Linked DNA regions of Sus scrofa. The protein of the gene in region 4 binds, or shares a complex with, the protein of the main gene of each other region. Links are inferred from orthologs where the notes say so. Each region holds a gene or a part of one and is shown on either strand. Other genes may lie near its edges. The genes, in order: CBLL1, METTL14, ZC3H13, RBM15 and WTAP.

Region 1 (3,515 bases), on a different chromosome or scaffold from region 4:
AATTATATCATTTCAACAGATAAACATCTTGGGTGAAAAGGATGATACACCAGTTCATTTCTGTGATAAATGTGGATTGCCTATTAAAATCTATGGGCGAATGGTAAGTAAAACTAAATTCTATTTTTTTAAGTGTAAATATTTGTGTAGAGGTAGGATCCTGAAATTTAAGTAGCTAAGTTTATCATTGTTTAATGTTTAAATTTGTAATATTTTAAATAAGTATAAAATAGCTATGGGAAATTTGGGGATAATAAGTATTTAATATAATTATCTTGACAAATTCTTGAATTGCTTGTAAAATAATTAGTTAAGGAAGCTAATTGAAAGCCAGATAATTTCTTTGGACTGTTTGAAATCTGTTAGTCTACATTTATTCTAGTTTATTGGGGAAATTTTTTTTCTTGCTTAATAGAATAAAATCAGTTATTCATTTCTGAAGACTATAATCTTCAATGTAAAACTGAATTTATAGAATTTTTGATGGTTTCTGAGAATTGAATTCTAATCATTAGAAAAAAATACAGCCCTGTTGGTAACTTTATAGTTATTTTGACATATCCTCCCTTAAGAAAAAGATAGTTTTATATTTGTGTTGGGAAAAAAAATTGAATTCTGTGTTGTATCTGTGATGGTAGAGGGCATGGATTATGGACTGTTGCTTTGGTCCATAACATAACTAAGTAGCAGTAATGGGCTGTGAGTTTTTAAATGGTGTAACATCATTTTACTCTGTCCTTCTGATTTGTTTTTAGAGATTTGTTAAATTCATTAACTTAAGACTACCAGGGAAGAATGCTATGTATATTAAATGTAGAAGATACTTGTTCTTTTACTGCTTTGGAATACTTTCAGGAGATACAGGATTCACTATGACATTCTACAGTATTCCTCAGGAGCTTTTTAACCTGTAGGGACCATGAATGTGTAAGCAAATGTGCATGTGTACGTTTATTGGGGAAAGGGCCAAAGTTTTCATCACACTCTCTTAATTGTTGTTTTCATATATTTAGTACTTAATAAATGTTCATTGTAAGAAACAGTTCTCAGGTGCCTTCTTAGCAACTTTCTTCTCAGATCACTATGCTGCTGTTATTTTTTGTGGAAATATTTTTATTTGTTCTAGTATGCTTAACTGTAATATGTTTCTGTTTACAGATTCCATGCAAGCATGTTTTTTGCTATGACTGTGCTATTTTACATGAAAAAAAGGGGGATAAGATGTGTCCAGGGTAAGATCATCATTAAATATTTAAATAATAAAGTTTGCGATGTAATGATTTGTAATATAGATTAAAGATCAGGGTGTGATATAAACCAGTGGAAGGATATCAGATGTGTGGACATAGCAGATCATTTTTGTGAGCCTGGAGTTGACCTTAGCTTTCTCCCTAGGATAGGACTAATTAGCTATTATCAATCAATTCAAATTGGTCAAAATAAAAGTATATTTGCCATCACGAAGTTAGCATTATAAACCAAAAATAGTTATTTTCTTGTTTTAATGGCACAATAGAGATGTAGTATCATGTAATAATTGAGAGTAAAAACTCTGGAATTAGAATTCCTGAGTTCAGATCCCTACTTTGTCATTTATTAGCTGTGTGGCCTAGGCTTTCTTCATTTGTAAAATGGAGCTAATAATAGTACTTACCTCCCTGGATTATTATTATTAGAATTAAATGAGTTAATACATATATAGTATCTACCACGTAGTAAATGCTGTGTAAGTATAAGCTTTTATTACTTATTACCTTCAAAGCTGATTATGTTTTGGCTATATCGTAGAATACCATCATGGCATAGACTCAGACAGATTATAAAGATCTGGAAGTGCTGGTTGGTAGTAATCTTTTTTGGGATGGTCTTGAAGGATCCGGAATAAACTGAATTTTTACATCAATTCAGAAGTGCTGATAGAAGGCTTGAGAAAAGCTTTGAGGGAACTTAGAGCAACTATAGGCTTCCTAGATTCCCTATAACCTATGTCAGAACCTATCCCAAGGGTCGTAGTGTTAGTTGATAACAAAGCTATGGACACTTGTAAGGAGTAATTTTCTTTTGTAGTATAGAAACATTGGCATGACTGAAAGAGAATGGATGATTCATTGGCAAACCACTGACAACTAATTTTCTTGGCATATCTGTATTAGCCTGTCAGAATCACAGATTATAGAATTTGTAGTGAGAGTTTAAAAATATTTCCTCCCTAGGAGCTCCCGTCGTGGCTCAGCGGAAATGAATCTTAACTAGCATCCATGAGGATGCAGGTTCAGTCCCTGGCTGAGCTACATAGGTTGAGGATCTGGCATTGCCATGAGCTGTGGTATAGGTTGCAGATGTGGCTTGGATCTGGTGTTGCTGTGGCTGTGGTATAGGCCAGTGGCTGCAGCTGTGATTGGACCCTAGCCTAGGAACTTCCATATGCTGCGGTCCTACAGCCCTAAAAAAAAAAAAACCAAAAAATTTCCTCCCTAGAATTATGCTTCAGAAGTCATGACATTACAAGCACATATTCATTGTTTGCCTCATTTTCTCTAATGCCTAATTTCCCAGCGTGGTGTGCATCTACTTTAGATTGTATAGTAAATTTGATTGCTTCACTGGAATAAAGGAATTTGGATGTTTAAAATGCTGTGTAGAGGACATCAAAACGTTTTTTCTTTCATATAAATGTTCTAGTATTAATATTTAATAGGAAATTTAGTTTTCAAGATACTGAGTATAATTCCAGTAAGCACCTTACTGGTTGGTCTTAAAGTGTATTAGAACATAAGCCTACCTGGATTAACAGATGTAGGCTAGGAAGTGAAGAAATGGCAGTCCAAATTAATGTAAATATTATATACTAATGCTTTTAAGAATCACCCAGAAGTGCCTTACATCCTGTTAGTGTGGTGCTATTTCAGAGCTTATAGCAAATTAGAAGCAAAAAATGACGAGTGTGCCAAATGGCAACTAAAGGAAAGCCTACTAGTATCAAGCAGAACCAGCCTACAACAAGGAAGGAGAAATAGCACTCAAAATTAAGAATATAGCACCATTTATTATGGTGTCATGTGACCTGACAGACATATTCAGTAATAATAGCTTATACATGTATAGTGCTTAACTAGGCATTAAGTACTGTCATTTTCATGTTTTGATACTAAGGATACTGTCTCTCCTTTTTTTAATTAAAATTTTTTTTTTATTTCGCCTTGCCTGTGGCGTGTGGAAGTTCCCAAGCCAGGGATCGAACCTGTGCCACAGCAGTGACCCAAGCTGCTGTGGTGACAAAGCCAGATCCTTAACCTGCTGTGCCACAAGAGAACTCCCAAAGATACTCTTTTAAGTAGGACAAAGAAGATATAAAAACCTTTCTGGTTAGGTAGAGTAGATGTTTTAACCCCATTTTACAGATAAAGAAACAAAGTTTAAATGATTTCTCCAAGTTCACAGCCGAGAAATACTACATCCCAGTTCTGGTTCCTGGTTCAGTCCTCTTTCCACTATATCAAGAAGACTGTAATGAC
Region 2 (3,515 bases), on a different chromosome or scaffold from region 4:
GGATTGTTTTGGAATTGGGTACATCAGAAATGTAAAATGTTGTAACATATGACTGTTGATGAAAAGGGATTAATCGTTGTGCTCTTACTGTTATTTAGGAACACTGCCTTATGGGAATCAAAGGAACTGTTAAGCGTAGCACAGACGGGGACTTCATTCATGCTAATGTTGACATTGACTTGATTATCACAGAAGAACCTGAAATTGGCAATATAGAAAAGCCTGTAGAAATTTTTCATATAATTGAACATTTTTGTCTTGGTAGAAGACGCCTTCATCTATTTGGACGAGATAGTACAATTCGACCAGGTAAGATGTCAGAGGAAAAAAACTTTTATAGTTCCTTGGAACATAGATGTTAAGAAGTAGCACACAGGAGTTCCTGTCGTGGCTCAGTGGAAACGAATCTGACTAGCATCCATGAGGACACAGGTTCAGTCCCTGGCCTCACTCAGTGGCTTAAGGATCCGGCGTTGCCATGGGTTTTGGTGTAGGTTGCAGACGTGGCTTGGATCCCGTGTTGCTGTGGCTGTGGTCAGTGGCTACAGCTCCAGTTCAACCCCTAGCCTGGGAACCTCCATAGGCTGCAAGTGTGGCCCTAAAAAGACAAAAAGAAGTAGCACCCAGTGCTTTGTAAAATAAAATTGTTAGGATGTGTTCGATTCCTCTTCTTGATGCACTTAGAACATGCCAAGCTCATTCTTGTCTCACTACTCTTCCATGGTCCTCTCTGCTATCATGCAGACACCTGACAGACCTTTGTCACAACCCTGTCTCAATTAGCCAACTTCCCACTTCACTCCCTCCTCTCACCACTCTCTCTCCCTTTGATCTCTTTTCTTTTTCTTCATAAAGCACTTACTGTTAACTGAATTGTAGATTCATTTGAGCATATGTTTACTCTTTCTCTTTAGCATGCAGTCTCATGGAAAGCAAAGATTGTCTTATTCTCTTCTTTCTACCTGCCATTCAGGTTATTCAGTAAATACTGTGTTGAGCCAAGTGGACATTTGGTCCACACCAAAATGTCCTTGATATTTAGTCTTGTTTAAAACATCCATAAGATGTTTGGTCCATAAGGTCAGTGCCAAAAGGTTCTTGATATTTGGCCCTGTCCAAAACCATTTGGCATGGACCACATTTTCTCATTTGCTCTAGCTCTATCAGCTAGAAATTCTGTTTAGGAGTTCCTTTTGTGGCACAGTGGTTAACGAATCCGACTAGGAACCGTGAGGTTGTGGGTTCAGTCCCTGGCCTTGCTCAGTGGGTTAAAGATCTAGCGTTGCCGTGAGCTGTGGTGTAGGTTGCAGATGTGGCTCGGATACCGCGTTGCTGTGGCTGTGTTGTAGGCTGGTGGCTACAGCTCCGATTGGACCTGTAGCCTGGGAACCTCTATATGCTGCGGGAGCAGCCCTAGAAAAGGCAAAAAGACCAAAAAAAAAAAAAAAAAAAAAAAAGAAATTCTGTTTAAAGATGAAAGGAGTCAGAATCTTACTTGTTTTAAATCTACATTTTATAAAAAGTAAAAGTTGAAAAAGTTACAGTAGAATAATTGTCCTTAGAAATACCTTAGAATTTAGAAACTCTGATGTTCATTCTGAAAAAAAGTGATCCTTAAAAGCTGCCTTATATACATAATCTATGTATATATGTGTAATATAATCTGTCCCTCCTCTCCCTACCTCTCCAGCCTAATCAGCTATTTCTTTGTGAATTGCTTTGATGAACTGATGGTCTCGAATTTCATAAAGTTGTGTAAAATGATAGAAAAATAAAACTACATTCTTTTTATGAATAAATATTTTGCATGTGAAATGTTTATTCTGGGAGTTCCCATTGTGGCTCAGCAGTAATGAACCTGACTAGGACCCATAAGCATGTGGGTTTGATCCCTGGCCTCGCTCAGTGGGTTAAGGATCTGGCATTGCCGTGAGCTGCAATGTAGATTGCAGACACGGCTTTGATCTAGTGTTGCTGTGGCTGTGTCATAGGTCGGCACCTACACCTGCAATTTGACTCCTAGCCTGGGAACTTCCCTGTGCCGCAGGTGTGGCCCTAAAAAGCAAAAAAAAAAAAAAAAAGAGAGGGAGGTTTATTGTGGATTTTGGCTTTAGAGAAAATGTTTCCTATATTTAAAAGTAAATGTTTTCTCTCCTGGCGGTTTGTTATTCAGGATTGAGTTGCTTAAATTATCATTTTGTTACTGCTTTTTGGCATAATATTGTGGTCATATAACACACACCTTAAGATTTCACTCATTTGTAGTTTGTTGAGATTTGCGTTTGATCCAATTTAAATAAATATTCCAAGTCCAGTTGATAGGAACATGTATTATTTTTGTTGTTGGTTGTAGTATTTATTTATTGCTGATTTATTTATTTATTACTGTAGTATTTATTTATTGTTGATTTCTGCCATGACTTTACTGATTTTTTTAACTGCTTATTCTGTGAGAAAGGTATATTAAATATGAAATTTATGGGTTGTGATTTTGTTTAGTTGTCAGTTTTTTATTTATATTTGCTATTCTGCTGTTAGACGTATATAATGTAGAATTTTTATGCCTTCCTAGTAGCTTGACCATCTTAATATTATGAAGTGTCCTTCTTTATCCATTGTTTCTTAGTCTAAATCTTGCTTCATCTGACATTATCATAGCTATCCCAGCTTTCTTTTGGTTTGTGTTTGCATCATATATTATTTCCATCTTATTTTCAGTCTTCTATAGCCTTACCTTTAAGGTGTATCTCTTGTGAACAACATATAGTTGGTTTTCATCCAGTTATTGTTATCTTTTTTTGTTTGTGTGTTTGCTTCCATGGCATATAGAAGTTCCCACACCAGGGATTGAACTCATGTTACAGCAGTGGCCCAGGCTACTGCAGTGACACCACCAGATCCTGCTGTGCCAATGAGAACTCCTTGTCTTTTTCTTTTAATTGAATTGTTTAATCAGTCTGTATTTAATGTAATTCCTGCTATATATGTCGTAATTACCATCTTACTGTTTGCTTTATGTTGTTACCACCTGTTTTATATTCCTTTTTCTCTCATTTCTTTGGCTTGATTCAGGTATTCTTATATTACTCATTTTTTTCTTTTTTATTAGCTTGTTAATTACATGTTCTTTTACTGTTCCCTCAGTGATTATCTTGGAAATTGCAGCATTCATCCTTGAATTATGAAATTCTAAATTAAAATAGTATGTTGATTTTTAAAGGGTGGCAATGCTATGGTTTAAACTTCATAGTTTCCTTAATCTTTTTGGCAAGTTTTGCTCAACGTTCAATTCTTGCATAAGTTATTATATATAAAGCTATAGAATGAGCTTTGAGTTGTTTAGACTTCCACTGTGCATAATGAACACCTTGTTTAGAAGTTTTGTGGATGATTTTATTCTCTTATCAAAGTAAAATATTTTGGCAGCAGAGCTTGTGACAAGCAAATGTTTTCTTTTCACTGGCTTAAAAGAAAGTAACATCAATAACAGTCAGAAATTGGTTGTATTTCTTGAT
Region 3 (3,515 bases), on a different chromosome or scaffold from region 4:
TTCAATAAAGAAATGAAGGCATCCTTTTGAAATTAGTAGATTTCTCTGGATTTACGTAAAGTTTTCTTATAAAAAATTAACAAAATTAGCAGTTAATGTTGGTAGATTTTATTTCTCATGTTTTAATTATAGTCTTTTAACCTCTTTTGATATTGCTGTCCATATTGTGTTCTTGCCATTAAAACTAAGTTTAACTAATACAGTTTACGTTTTCTTTTAGAATTATTGAGTGTATTGAATAAGAAATGTAGTTGTCAAATAAAAAATGCTTTTCCATTTTTTTAGTGTGCACAGTCTCTCCTCTTTGGTTTCACTAAAAAGTCTCTTTCCCTTAATGCTCTCTTTGATGTGAAATTAATTTTTCCCTTCAGCAGGAGATGACGAATCTAAGTTAGACGATGCACATTCGTTAGGATCTGGGGCTGGAGAAGGATACGAGCCAATTAGTGATGATGAACTAGATGAAATTCTGGCAGGTGATGCCGAAAAGAGGGAGGACCAACAGGATGAGGAGAAGATGCCAGGTAATCATTTGCAGAGGTGTTGAACATACAAAATATTTAATCATGGTATTGAGGTATTCTTTGTTCCCTTTCACACTGGAAGAATTGATAAAACAGAATTTTCCCATTTATGTTGTAATTAACATTGAGAGGTCAATAAAATGAAAATTATAGTTAATATGCTTTGCTTATTTTTAAGTAGACAGTTGCCTGTAAATTGGAAAGGGCAATATTTAAAATAGCAAAATTGTAAGATTATCTTTCCAGAGTTTAATTCATATTACATGACCTGGAATTTAACCAAATAGTAATTGTCTAGCAGTATTCTCAATGGTAGGTACCTGGTACAGAGCTTCACAGCTGTGCTGCCACAAACCAAGTTTTGAAACAACCGTTCCAGAATTTACAAAGGTTGAAATTATATTTGAACACTATTTATATACCTCTATCAGTTTTCTAAATTCAGTAATTATTTTCACTCACAGTACTTTATTCATAGCTAGAGCTTGCTCCAGTGACTGTACCATGAAGCAGCAACCCTTAATGTTCTTGTTGAATCGTCCCAATTAGTCTGATCGTTACTACAGAATATTTTTTTTAGTCATAGTGAGGGTCTTTGGGTATGTAGAATATTAAATTTTTTTTTTTTTTTTTTTTTTTTTTTTTTTTTTTTGTCTTTTGTTGTTGTTGTTGTTGTTGTTGCTATTTCTTGGGCCGCTCCCGCGGCATATGGAGGTTCCCAGGCTAGGGGCTGAATCGGAGCCGTAGCCACCGGCCTACGCCAGAGCCATAGCAACGCGGGATCCGAGCCGCGTCTGCAACGTACACCACAGCTCACGGCAACGCCGGATGGTTAACCCACTGAGCAAGGGCAGGGACCGAACCCGCAACCTCATGGTTCCTAGTCGGAGTCGTTAACCACTGCGCCACGACGGGAACTCCAGAATATTAAATTTTATTTTGATTTAATTTGTTCTTATATTTTCCAGTTTTTTTCTACTAATGTACATTTATGTTTTATCTTTATTATCACCAGCTATTAGGTATTTCTAAATAGAACATTATTTTGTTAATTTTGTAAACTGTTCTTTATCAATGAATAGATTATTCTCAATTTTAATCATAGCCACTGCCTGATTCTTAAAGTAATTTTATAATGCATTACTTGGTTTTTTGTTTTGCTTTTTGTTTATTTGTTTTTGGCTACACCTGTGGCATGCAGTAGTTCCCGGGCCACGATTGAACCTGTACCACAGCAGCTATCTGAGCCACAGCGGTGATGAATTATTTGTTTTTTAAAAGTACACTTTAAAAAAAAAAAAAAAAAAAAAGGAGTTCCCGTTGTGACTCAGCGGTAACGAACCCGACTGGTATCCATGAGGACGTGGGTTTGATCCCTACTTAGTGGGTTAAGGATCTGGCATTGCTGTAAGCCACGGTGTAGGTCGAAGGGCAACTTGGATCTGGCATTGCTGTGGCTGTGGCATAGGCCAGAAGCCGCAGCTCCAATTTGACCCCTAGACTGTGAACTTGTGTATGCTGCAGGTACGGCCCTGAAGAAAAAGACCAAAAAAAAAAAGTTCTGAGAGTTCTCTGGTGGCCTTGAGGTTAAGGACTTGGCATCGCCACTGCCATGGCTCGGGTTTGATCCCTGGCCCAGGAACTTTTGTATGCTGCGGCCAAAAAAAACCAAACTTAAACTGTTTTTTTTTTTTTTTTTTTTTTTTTGTCTGTGTATGCACACGCACATGCACACTAAATACTCCTAGATTTAACCCTTGAAAAGATTCTGGTACCAAATTTCAAAACATCAGACTTTATCTTAGTGAAATAATGAGTTCTTTCATTGAGGATCTCTCAAGCAATTTAAATGCATTGTGTTAGGAATGGGTTTGCTTAGGTTTGGTTTGCTTGCCTGTTTTTTAGTTTTGGGTTTTTTGTGTTTTTTTTAGTTGAAGTATAATTAACCTATATTATGCATTTATTGTATTAGTTTCACGTATACAACATAATGATTCGACATTTGTATACATTGCGAAATGATCACCACAGTAACCATCTGTCACCATGCAGAGTTACACAGGTGTTTTTCTTGTGATGAGAACTTCTCAGATTTACTTCCTAGCAACTTTTAATGTTGAAATACGATGTTATTGATTATAGTTACCTGGCTGTACATTACATCCCCATGATGTATTTATTTTGTGACTGGAAGTTTGTACCTCTTGATACCCTTCATCCATTTTGTTTAACCTTCAAATCCCTTCCCCTCTAGAGACCGTCGATCTGTTCTCTGTTTCTGTAAGTTTGGTTTCCCTTTTGTATTGTTTGATTCTTTTACTTTCTAGATTGCACATGTAGGTGAAATTGTATTCATCTTTCTCTGACTTATTTCACTGAGCATAGTATCTTTAGGGCCCTTTTGTGTGTCTCAAATTGGCGAGATTTCTTTCTTATGACTGAGTAGTAGTCCATTGTGTGTGTGGGGGGGGATATATTTCAGTGTACACAGATATGTGTCTCATACCTCCGTCTGTTCATCTGTCAGTGGACGCTGAGGTTGTTTCTACTTTGGCTACTGTAGATGATGCTACAGTGAGGGGTGCATATATATTTCCAAATTAGTATTTTGTTTGTATATCCCCAGAAGTGAAATTGCTGGGTGGTTTTTTTTTTTTTTTTTTTGAGAAACCTCCAGACTTTTTCCCTACTGGTTGCACCAGTTGACATTTCTACCAGCAGCATATGTGAGTATCCTTTTTTCCTCATCCTCGCCAACGATTCTTGTTTCTTGTCTTTTTGATAATAGCCATTCTGACAGGTGTGAGATATATCTCACTGTGGTTTTAACTTGCATTTATTTCCCTGATGATTAGTGATATTGAGCATCTTTTCATATGCCTATTGGCCATCTGTATGCCTTCTTTGGAGAAATGTCTATTCAGATCCTCTGCCCTTTTTTTTTTTAAGGGCCGCACCTGTGGCATATGGAGGTTCCCAGGCTAGGGGTCC
Region 4 (4,253 bases):
GTTAAGCCACTTTAACTAGTGTTATAGCCAATCCAAATAAATTAAGCTCCCAGGTGATTATTTTTGACCTAAATTGACTTGCTTAGATGACTCACTGGTCAAAAAAAAGACCAAATAAGTTTAGTTTCCTAAGCCTCACGATATAGACTGAGGGAGCATGAAAGTTGAAGGAGAAATTCAGGGAGCCTATACTGGTATGTGTGGCAGTGGCCAGGGCTCTGCTAGGCTTAGTGGCTTGCCATTCAAAATACCAGAAAGCTTGATGGAAGCTATTGCCCACATGTGGCTGCAGCAGGAAGGCTTAGCTAAGCGGGGGTGGGGGGGGGGTGACAGCCTATCTCGTATCAAGAGGACTGGTAAATTAATGGGTAGACAGAAATAGCCTGGATTCCATTATCTCTTTTGATAACTAGAGTCAAAACATAATTGTGTGTGTGTGCACACGTACAAGTGTCCACGACAGAAGTGAAAAATGACATGGTATGTTGATCCAAGCTATAGTTAAAATAAGTGATTTGTTTTCATTTTCTTTGTGTTCTTTAAAGTATGAAGTGCCTTAGTGAGGGTGTATCAGCCTATGTTCACACATGTGCTTTAGAGAGGGCTGAAAGAGGATAAAAGTGACCCATGGTTTAGAAAGCCAAGACTGAGCACTTTTTCTAGTGTTGGTGATGGAGCTGTTGAGGTCCCGTCCAGGCTTTCATCTGGTCTTGTGATCTCTGGCCAGATTTGCGAGGGTAACTGGCCCGGTGAAGAGGATCTTTCAGCGGTCAGGAAAACACAGATTCCCTGAGCATCAGAGCAGCATGTTGATCTCTCCTTTCAATGCCTTGTCAGAAACCAAAAAATAGTGTTGAGGAAAGTAGCCATTGCCTATTCTGACCTCAATGCTGACCCCTTGGAGCCTTGGAGCTGTACAACTCAAACGCCCTAGAGGAAACAGCCCAGGCGGAGAGCAAACATAGCTAAGCTGTCTAAATGAAGTGCTTTCTCCGTCTCCTATAAAATCAGTTTTAGATTAAAAAGGAAAAGCAAAATAAAAGTTATGCACATGAAAGAAAGTTGTGCAATTAAAAGGTATCAGTGTTTTCAATCAAATGTGCTCTTTCCACCCCTTCCTTCCTATGTTTTATTATTTGTGTATTCTCAATACACACAGAGACAGTTATGATTACAATATGAAATTTGTCCTGGGCGCTGAAAGCCATTTGATTTCCTGGCAGATGCAAAAAAAAAAAAACCCTGAAGCTGGGGATTTAAAAAACAATTCTCCCGCTCATAGTAGTAGATTAAAATTTTCTGTTTCATTTTCTTGCAAAGTGAGTGGTCTCCTGACTGTAATGCTTGTTTTGTTTGCAGAATACGTCTCTTTTACCCATAGACATATATGCAATAGCTAAAATAGCAAACAATCACTTAGAACACAGTTTGCATCCTAAAGTCATTTATTTGTGGTTTGTGGGGGTTTTTTTTTAAAAAAAAGCTTTATTAAGATATAATTTATATACCATAAAGTTTACCCATTTAGAGCTTACAATTCATTGGTTTTTAGTATACTTAAAGAGCTGTGCGTGTGGCTCATCCTGCAGCACTGTTACAGAAAGCCTCTGCTATAATTTCTCCTAGGTGACTAAGCCCTAATATAATTATCTCTTTCATTTATTTAGACATTTTATAGGGCAGTAGTTAAGAGCATGAACTCTAGAACCAGCTAGCCTGGATTAAATCCCAGCTCTGCTGTGGGTCTCAAAAGAGTTACTGTTAATCCCTCTGAGCCTTTATTTTCTCATCTATAAAATGGGAACAATCATAGAACCTCTTTACTGGGAGGATTAAAAGGGTTAAAATATATGGTTGGCATCCTCAGAGTCAACCAACCATGGGTCATCTGACTGTACAAGGAGCTTAGAAGAGTGCCTGGCACATGGTAAGCATATATTGCTATCACTAGTATATTTTCTCTTTGAACTTAAGTACGTAGAATTGAATTAATCACAATCCTTAGTTCATGACACACAATCATCAGTGGTTCATCTATGGGCCTTTAAACTTTTCACTTAGTCAAGAACATAATGAATACCCATGAACCTATCATTCAATCCAACAAGTAGAAAGTTACCAATAATCTGCATCTACCTAAATGTTCCTCCCTTATCCACTGCCTACCCTCATAGATAGCAACTATCCTGAACCTGGTATTTAGCAATCCCTTGTTTTGTTTTAAAAACTTAAAAAAATTTTTAAGGAACTTTAAGGAATCCATATATGTGTATGCGTGCAAATGTGTGTTCACGCACATGCACATACATGCGCCTTAAATGTATGTTATTTTAGTTTTGCTCGTTTTGTAACTTCATACTAACTTGTAATCTGAGATTTGCATTTTTCACTCATTATGTTACTATGACTCTTTTTTATTATCAGAAGACTTTCAAGAAATGGATCATTTCCTTCTCTTTTGATGTTCTGAGATTGTTATGCTGCCATATGATCTAATACGGCTTTTCAAGTTCCAGCCATAAAATAACCATTCCAGTCACCCAGCGGGTGAAGATGGAACAACATGTCCTCCTCCTTTTAAGACACTTCCCAGAAGTGACTCACTAAAACTCCGCTTCTATCTCATTCACCAAAACATAGACCTGCAACCACACTTAGCAAGGAATGCTGGGGGGTATAATTCTGTATCTTACTTTAGCCCAACTAAAAATCAGGAGTCTTAAAAAGAAAAAAATTTATTGAAACTTCGTTCATTTACAATGTTGTGCCAATTTCTGCTGTACAGCAAAGTGACCCAGCTCTACATTCTTTTTCTTACATTATCTTCCATCATGGTCTCTTCCAGGAGATAGTTCCCTGTGCTATACAGTAGGACCTTATTTTTTAGCCATTCTAAATGTAATAGTTTGCATCCACTAATCCCAAACTCCCAGTCTATCTCACTCCCTCCCCCTTCCCCTTGGCAACCACAAGTCTGTTTTCTGCCTCTGTGAGTCTGTTTCTGTTCTGTAGATAGGTTCATTTGTGCCATATTTTAGATTCTACATGTAAGTGATATCATATGGTATTTGTTTTTCAGGGGTCTTATTTCTAAGGAAAAGAGGGAGAACAGGTCTTGGGGTCACCAACAGTCTCTTCCACAACTACCTACAGGGTGAATTTCAAGACACAATGTATATAAAGCTGATGGTACATACTTAGCAAGAGTCAATTAAAACAGTCATTTTATGATTTCCCTTACATTATCCAATTTAATCCTCATAGTAATCATATGCGTTAGGGCAAATATGATTATCTTAATTGCAGACTTGGAAACTGAGATTTAGAGAGGCTAATTACAGCTGTGCCAGTGGTGGTAATTTTTGTTTGTTTTGTTTTAAAGAAAGAGGCAGTAGAGTCAAAGGGAAAGGAGCAGGAGCCCAAATCTAGAGTCCTAGCTTCTCTTGACAAAATCTGCCTCCCATAAAATCCTAGAATTCTATGTTCTGTGACTTTCTGGATCTGGCACATAAATCCGCAGGGTGTGGGACAGAACCTGAGGCCAGTAACTACCACTGTGGGTCGCTTTCCACCATATCCCGTGTGAACCTGGTTGTTGGAAACGACATGCTCTTCAGCAGCAGCCTCTCCTTCCCACAGGTTGAAATCTGAACAAATAAATGAGATTACATAACTCACAACTAGATAATAAAAATAAAAGCCAGCCTTTACTGAGTAATGACATACCAGGTGCTCTGCTAAAACTTTCCTCCCATTGGCTTGCTTTAGCCTCGCAACAACCTGTGGAGATGGATAGGCTTATAATTCTCTCTTTTTTTTTTTATCAGTTAAGGAAACTGAGGTTTAGAGAGCCAATATAATTTACAGATATTTAAGAAGAATAATATATGTCCTATAGAATTATTTGTTTTTTTTCCCAGTCTGTGAAAAGCATTTGTTTTGAAGTCATCCTTACATATTATGGGTGACTCCCCAGTGTTCATTCTCCCCTTCTTTGCAGTACTTTGACAGGAAAATATTTTATAACAAATGATATAGACAATTCCTTAGGTAACTAATGTAGTGGGAAAATACATAGTAACTGTGTTAGTATCTGCCTGCTTTAAGAATGGTGCTTTACTATTTACAATAGCCAAGACATGGACACAACCTAAATGTCCACCGACAGATGAATGGATAAAAGACACACACACACACACACACACACACACACACACACACACACACACACACACACACACACACACACACAC
Region 5 (4,154 bases), on a different chromosome or scaffold from region 4:
ACCCATGGATGTTAGTTGGGTTTGTTAACCGCTGAGCCACAACAGGAACTCCGATTTCTAAACTTCTGTGAGGACAGTGCAACAAGAAACCTTGCCTACATGTTATTTCTGTATGTGAGGATGTATTTTCAGAATCAGGTTAGGGTTAGAGGTGGAATTTGCAAGACATGTGAATAAGTGCATATATAATCTTGGTACTCCATAGGGCTTGAATCACTTTCCAATTCCTACCAGAAGGTTAATGAGCACGGTTTATTCGTAGAATTCCAATGTGCATTTCCATTACGCGCGAGGACAAACAACCGTTCATATTTAAGGATCATTGCTGTTCTTTGGTGTGAAATGTCTATTCATGCCTTGCCCATTTTTCTCTTCGGATTTTGGTCTTTGAACACACTTTAATACTATCCTTATAGATTATCTCATTCCAGCACACGTCCTGAGGATAAATGGTTTGGGTAAGGCTAGATAATACCAGCCAAATTAAAAGAATTACCTGAATATATTCAAATTTTAAAACTTACATTACTAGGTTCAAAAACCTTCCAAGGTTCTCCGGTCCCTTGTTTCTGGATGACCAAGGTGCCCCTAGGGCTGCTGACATACGCACAACCTCTCCGCTAGACAACAATAGCTCCCCGGTTGCGCCTCGAGATGTCAAGGCGGGGACAAACCAAGCGTCCAAGAGGCCGTCCTTCCCGAAGAAAGAGGGAGCCCCGGTTTCTAAATTCTCAAAACCTAGTGAGGCCTCGCGGAGTCCACACTGCCCAGCCGCCCAGCCCACGGCCCGCTGCCGAGGTCGCACCTGGCCGCCAGCACGCGGAAGCACCACGGCTGGGAGCTGCACCAAGACGCGGCCAATCACGCGCCGCCTTCGCCCAGATTCCTCCGCCAGAGGCCGCGCTGCAGCCGCAGGTGGCCCAGCGAGCGCGTCCAACCAGCGCCACCGAGCGCGACCCCCGCCGGCCTTCCCGTGATGCCCCGCGGCTGACCTGCGACCTCGCGGCTCACCCCTCCCCGCGGCCCGCTTCCCTCCCCGCCCCCGCCGAGCTGGAAGCGCTGGGGCGGCCGCGGGCCGTGCCACTAGGCGCAGCTCCTCCCCGAGCGCCTCGAGGCCCCCAGCGGGCGCCTTCCATTCGTCTTTCCTCTCCGCGGCGGGGCCTGGCGGGCGGGTCGCTGCGTCCGCGTCCGGGAGGTGACTCGTCGGTGAGCGGGCCGAGCGCGAACATGGCGGGATGGAGAAGGGCGGGCGCCGGCGGCGGCGGCGGCGCGGGGCGGGGCGGCGCGGCGGGAGGAGCGGGGAAGGGGGTGGGGCGACGGGGCCTCGCTTCCTCCCTCAGCGCCATTTTGTGGCAGCGAGACCCGCAAATAAAGGGGAGCGCCAGGGCTGCGGCGGGAGGAGGCGCGCGGGGGCCGGCGGCAGCGCGGTCGGGCGGCCCGGGCAGCGAGCGGCGGCGCGCGGTCGGCCTATGTGACTGGGCGGCGCCCGCGCGGCCTCCGTCCGGAGAGGTAGGTGCGGGCCGGGCCCCGGCCAGAGCGGCGGCGAGGACCTCAGGGTCCCCGGGGCTGAGGCGCGGCCGCCTGGCCCGGCAAAGGGGCGGACAGGGCACGGAGGGCGACTCGGGGTCCCCGGGCCCGCCAGCCTCCCGTTAGCCGCGCCGCCTTCCTGCTGCGGGCACACTTCCGCCGCCCCGAGGCCATTTTACCTTCGCTCTCCGTCTCCGGGCCCGAGGGCGAGGTGGGCGCTCCCGCGGGCCGGCGGCACCGGGAGGCCGCCCCCTCGGCGCGCGTCCCGTCCCCGCCTCGGTGCCGCCGGCGCCCACCTCCTTTCGAGCGGATCCCGCGGTCTGGCGGCACCCACGAGCTCAGCAGGGGAGGGAAAGCAGCGTTCGTTGACCGAATTTCACGTCGCGCAGTGGGGTATTACCGCCGCTGCGTTTTCTTGTGGACTTCCATTTTCAAATGATTGCACGCATCGTGGTTTTTAAAATACATGCTCTTTTGAGCCCGAGATCTTCATAGCATTTTAAACTCTCGTCTTGGATTCCTATAAAGCTGTTTTTAATTTCTTAGAACCCTGTTTCTCTAGTCAGTGGGGAACACCTCAGTGGGAAAGTCCAGGTTCTTGTTTTGATGAAGTCACTTGGCTGTTTGATCCCAAAGGACTATGTGAAAATCCTAAGGAACCCTGATTGTGAAGTAGGAAACTGTTCTTTTGCCCGAGATAGAAAAATACTTCCATGGGTATGTTACAGTCCTGAGTTGCTCCTCTCGTTTTCCATCTCAGAATTTAATTAATTCCATTGCTGAAGAAGAAAAGTGGAAGTCACAGGTCTTTCACCCCAAGTTCTAAGCGGGTTTTTTGCACTTTTAAAGAAAACTTGAATTGTTGATTTACAATGTTACATGAGTGTCAGGCGTACAGTGGAAGTGATTATCCACTGAGTTTTTTATTTTAAAATTTTGACTGTTAAGGTTTCTGTGACATAAACATAGAGGTATTTAAAGCTCTGTTAAAAAATTGCAAGATGCCTGCATTTTATTTATTTACACCTGTCATTCAGTAGCGTCCGATTAGGCAAGTTGGGAAAAGAAATCACGAGCATTAGAAATTGGGAAAGATCTTGCTGTATACACAGGGAGCTGTATCTAATCACTTGTAGTGGAACCCAATGCAGGGCAATGTGAGAAAAAGTGTGTGTGTATGTATATATATATATAAATAACTGGGTCCCTTTGCTGAACAATACAAGTTGACAGAACATTGTAAATTAACTATAATAAAAATTTTAGACTAAAAGACAAAAAATTTGACAAAAACAAAAAAAATTTAAAGAAATTGGGACTTGTGATAAAGATGGGGTTCGATTTTAAGGGTTTGGGTGGCTGTATTCCTTGAGTTCTTTCAAATCTTGCATTATTTTAAGCAGATGGCTGTAGTTAAGTGATCAGTATTTTCACTTCTCAGTGGTGGAACTCAGGCAATTTCGAAGTCCAGAAGGACAAAAGTAATAATAAGTGTGTCCCAGGCACTGCTGTTTTTTACTTAGCTCATCTATGAAACTTAATAATATCTAGATTTCTGGTTGAATTTTGTGTATTTGCCAGAAATGAGTTAGTATAGTGTAGAAAACCCATGGCAGCGTTATGACGTGGAGATGACAGTTGCAGTAATACAAGTTATTAGAAGTTATTAGCTCTGAAAGCTAATAATTATGAAGTTATTAGTTTTCAGGGTCCCTTACAGTTTTGTGTGTATATATGTAGACTGGAATACCCTAGACAACATTTTTTTAGATGTCTTGTTGATCATTTTCATATAATTGTACATTATCTCACTTCTGAAAAAAATGTTCCTTGCTCCTAAAAATTTGTGGGATCCTTTGGCAAAACAAGACCTAGATAGTGTTCATTTGGTTTATTCTTGTTTTTTATTATCACTCACTCTTCTGCCTCTAAATATTTTCTGCCAAGCTTGTCAGAGCAAAACTTCGATTCTTATAACAGTGTATCTCATTGGATATAAAGGTGGTGCATCAGGTTAGAACCAGTGCTATAAGTAAATGTTCTCAAGTCTTGAAATATAGTTGGTGGAATTTAATCTTTCCTAAAAGCACATTAAAGTTCTCTTTTATGTTAATGTTAGTATTTAAATTTGAATTTTTTTTGTTTGTATGGCATCTTTATGGCACTTGAAGCATTGAGATGTGCGGCACTTTGCAAAGCAGGGAAAATTGGTATCCTCTTCTTGCTGATTGGGAGACTGCAGTCCAAGTAGTGGCTTGCTGCTACATAGTCAAGACAAGCTGGTCTTCCAGTTCCTCACTAGTAGACTTTACAGTGTCAGATTAGTTCCTTAAGTTGGATTATGATTAGTTTCAGCGAGGTACATGCTTTCTTACTGAAGTTGTGTGGGCTAGTGCGTGATGCTCTGTTAAGGGAGAACTTACGACACCAAGAGCCAGGGAAGTACTGGAATCTGGGATGCTAGACACCTAGCCAGCCAAAACTGAGTTCTCCAGCCAAAGCTGTCTGTCAGTGTAAAGCATCAAGAGTAGATTCTGACATTCTAAACACGAGAACTATATTATTTCTGAGTTCTTGACGTGGATAACAAACTTTTACATACAACATAAAATAGTATTTTAACCAGT

Evidence for each region.
Region 1: RBM15 (region 4) and CBLL1 share a complex: the UniProt entries of both Homo sapiens proteins name them as parts of the WMM complex. The link is inferred for Sus scrofa from reciprocal best matches to the Homo sapiens genes RBM15 and CBLL1.
Region 2: RBM15 (region 4) and METTL14 share a complex: the UniProt entries of both Homo sapiens proteins name them as parts of the WMM complex. The link is inferred for Sus scrofa from reciprocal best matches to the Homo sapiens genes RBM15 and METTL14.
Region 3: RBM15 (region 4) and ZC3H13 share a complex: the UniProt entries of both Homo sapiens proteins name them as parts of the WMM complex. The link is inferred for Sus scrofa from reciprocal best matches to the Homo sapiens genes RBM15 and ZC3H13.
Region 5: RBM15 (region 4) and WTAP share a complex: the UniProt entries of both Homo sapiens proteins name them as parts of the WMM complex. The link is inferred for Sus scrofa from reciprocal best matches to the Homo sapiens genes RBM15 and WTAP.

The regions. Positions count from the first base shown.
Region 1 is NC_010451.4:107,466,631-107,470,145, forward strand, and holds part of CBLL1 (E3 ubiquitin-protein ligase Hakai), read left to right. Parts: intron 1-19; coding exon 20-103; intron 104-1,158; coding exon 1,159-1,232; intron 1,233-3,515. UniProt on the Homo sapiens protein: E3 ubiquitin-protein ligase that mediates ubiquitination of several tyrosine-phosphorylated Src substrates, including CDH1, CTTN and DOK1. Targets CDH1 for endocytosis and degradation.
Region 2 is NC_010450.4:105,026,099-105,029,613, reverse strand, and holds part of METTL14 (N6-adenosine-methyltransferase subunit METTL14), read left to right. Parts: intron 1-98; coding exon 99-309; intron 310-3,515. UniProt on the Homo sapiens protein: The METTL3-METTL14 heterodimer forms a N6-methyltransferase complex that methylates adenosine residues at the N(6) position of some mRNAs and regulates the circadian clock, differentiation of embryonic stem cells and cortical neurogenesis.
Region 3 is NC_010453.5:21,375,550-21,379,064, forward strand, and holds part of ZC3H13 (zinc finger CCCH domain-containing protein 13), read left to right. Parts: intron 1-371; coding exon 372-524; intron 525-3,515. UniProt on the Homo sapiens protein: Associated component of the WMM complex, a complex that mediates N6-methyladenosine (m6A) methylation of RNAs, a modification that plays a role in the efficiency of mRNA splicing and RNA processing.
Region 4 is NC_010446.5:109,788,756-109,793,008, forward strand, and holds the start of RBM15 (putative RNA-binding protein 15), read right to left. Parts: upstream 2,801-4,253; 5' UTR 1-2,800. UniProt on the Homo sapiens protein: RNA-binding protein that acts as a key regulator of N6-methyladenosine (m6A) methylation of RNAs, thereby regulating different processes, such as hematopoietic cell homeostasis, alternative splicing of mRNAs and X chromosome inactivation mediated by Xist RNA.
Region 5 is NC_010443.5:7,648,462-7,652,615, reverse strand, and holds the start of WTAP (pre-mRNA-splicing regulator WTAP), read left to right. Parts: upstream 1-1,343; 5' UTR 1,344-1,408; coding exon of another isoform or gene 1,409-1,581; intron 1,582-1,681; coding exon of another isoform or gene 1,682-1,847; intron 1,848-1,972; coding exon of another isoform or gene 1,973-1,976; intron 1,977-4,154. Other genes in the region: uncharacterized protein LOC102157641, read right to left, coding at 525-1,335, 1,409-1,581, 1,682-1,847, 1,973-1,976. UniProt on the Homo sapiens protein: Associated component of the WMM complex, a complex that mediates N6-methyladenosine (m6A) methylation of RNAs, a modification that plays a role in the efficiency of mRNA splicing and RNA processing.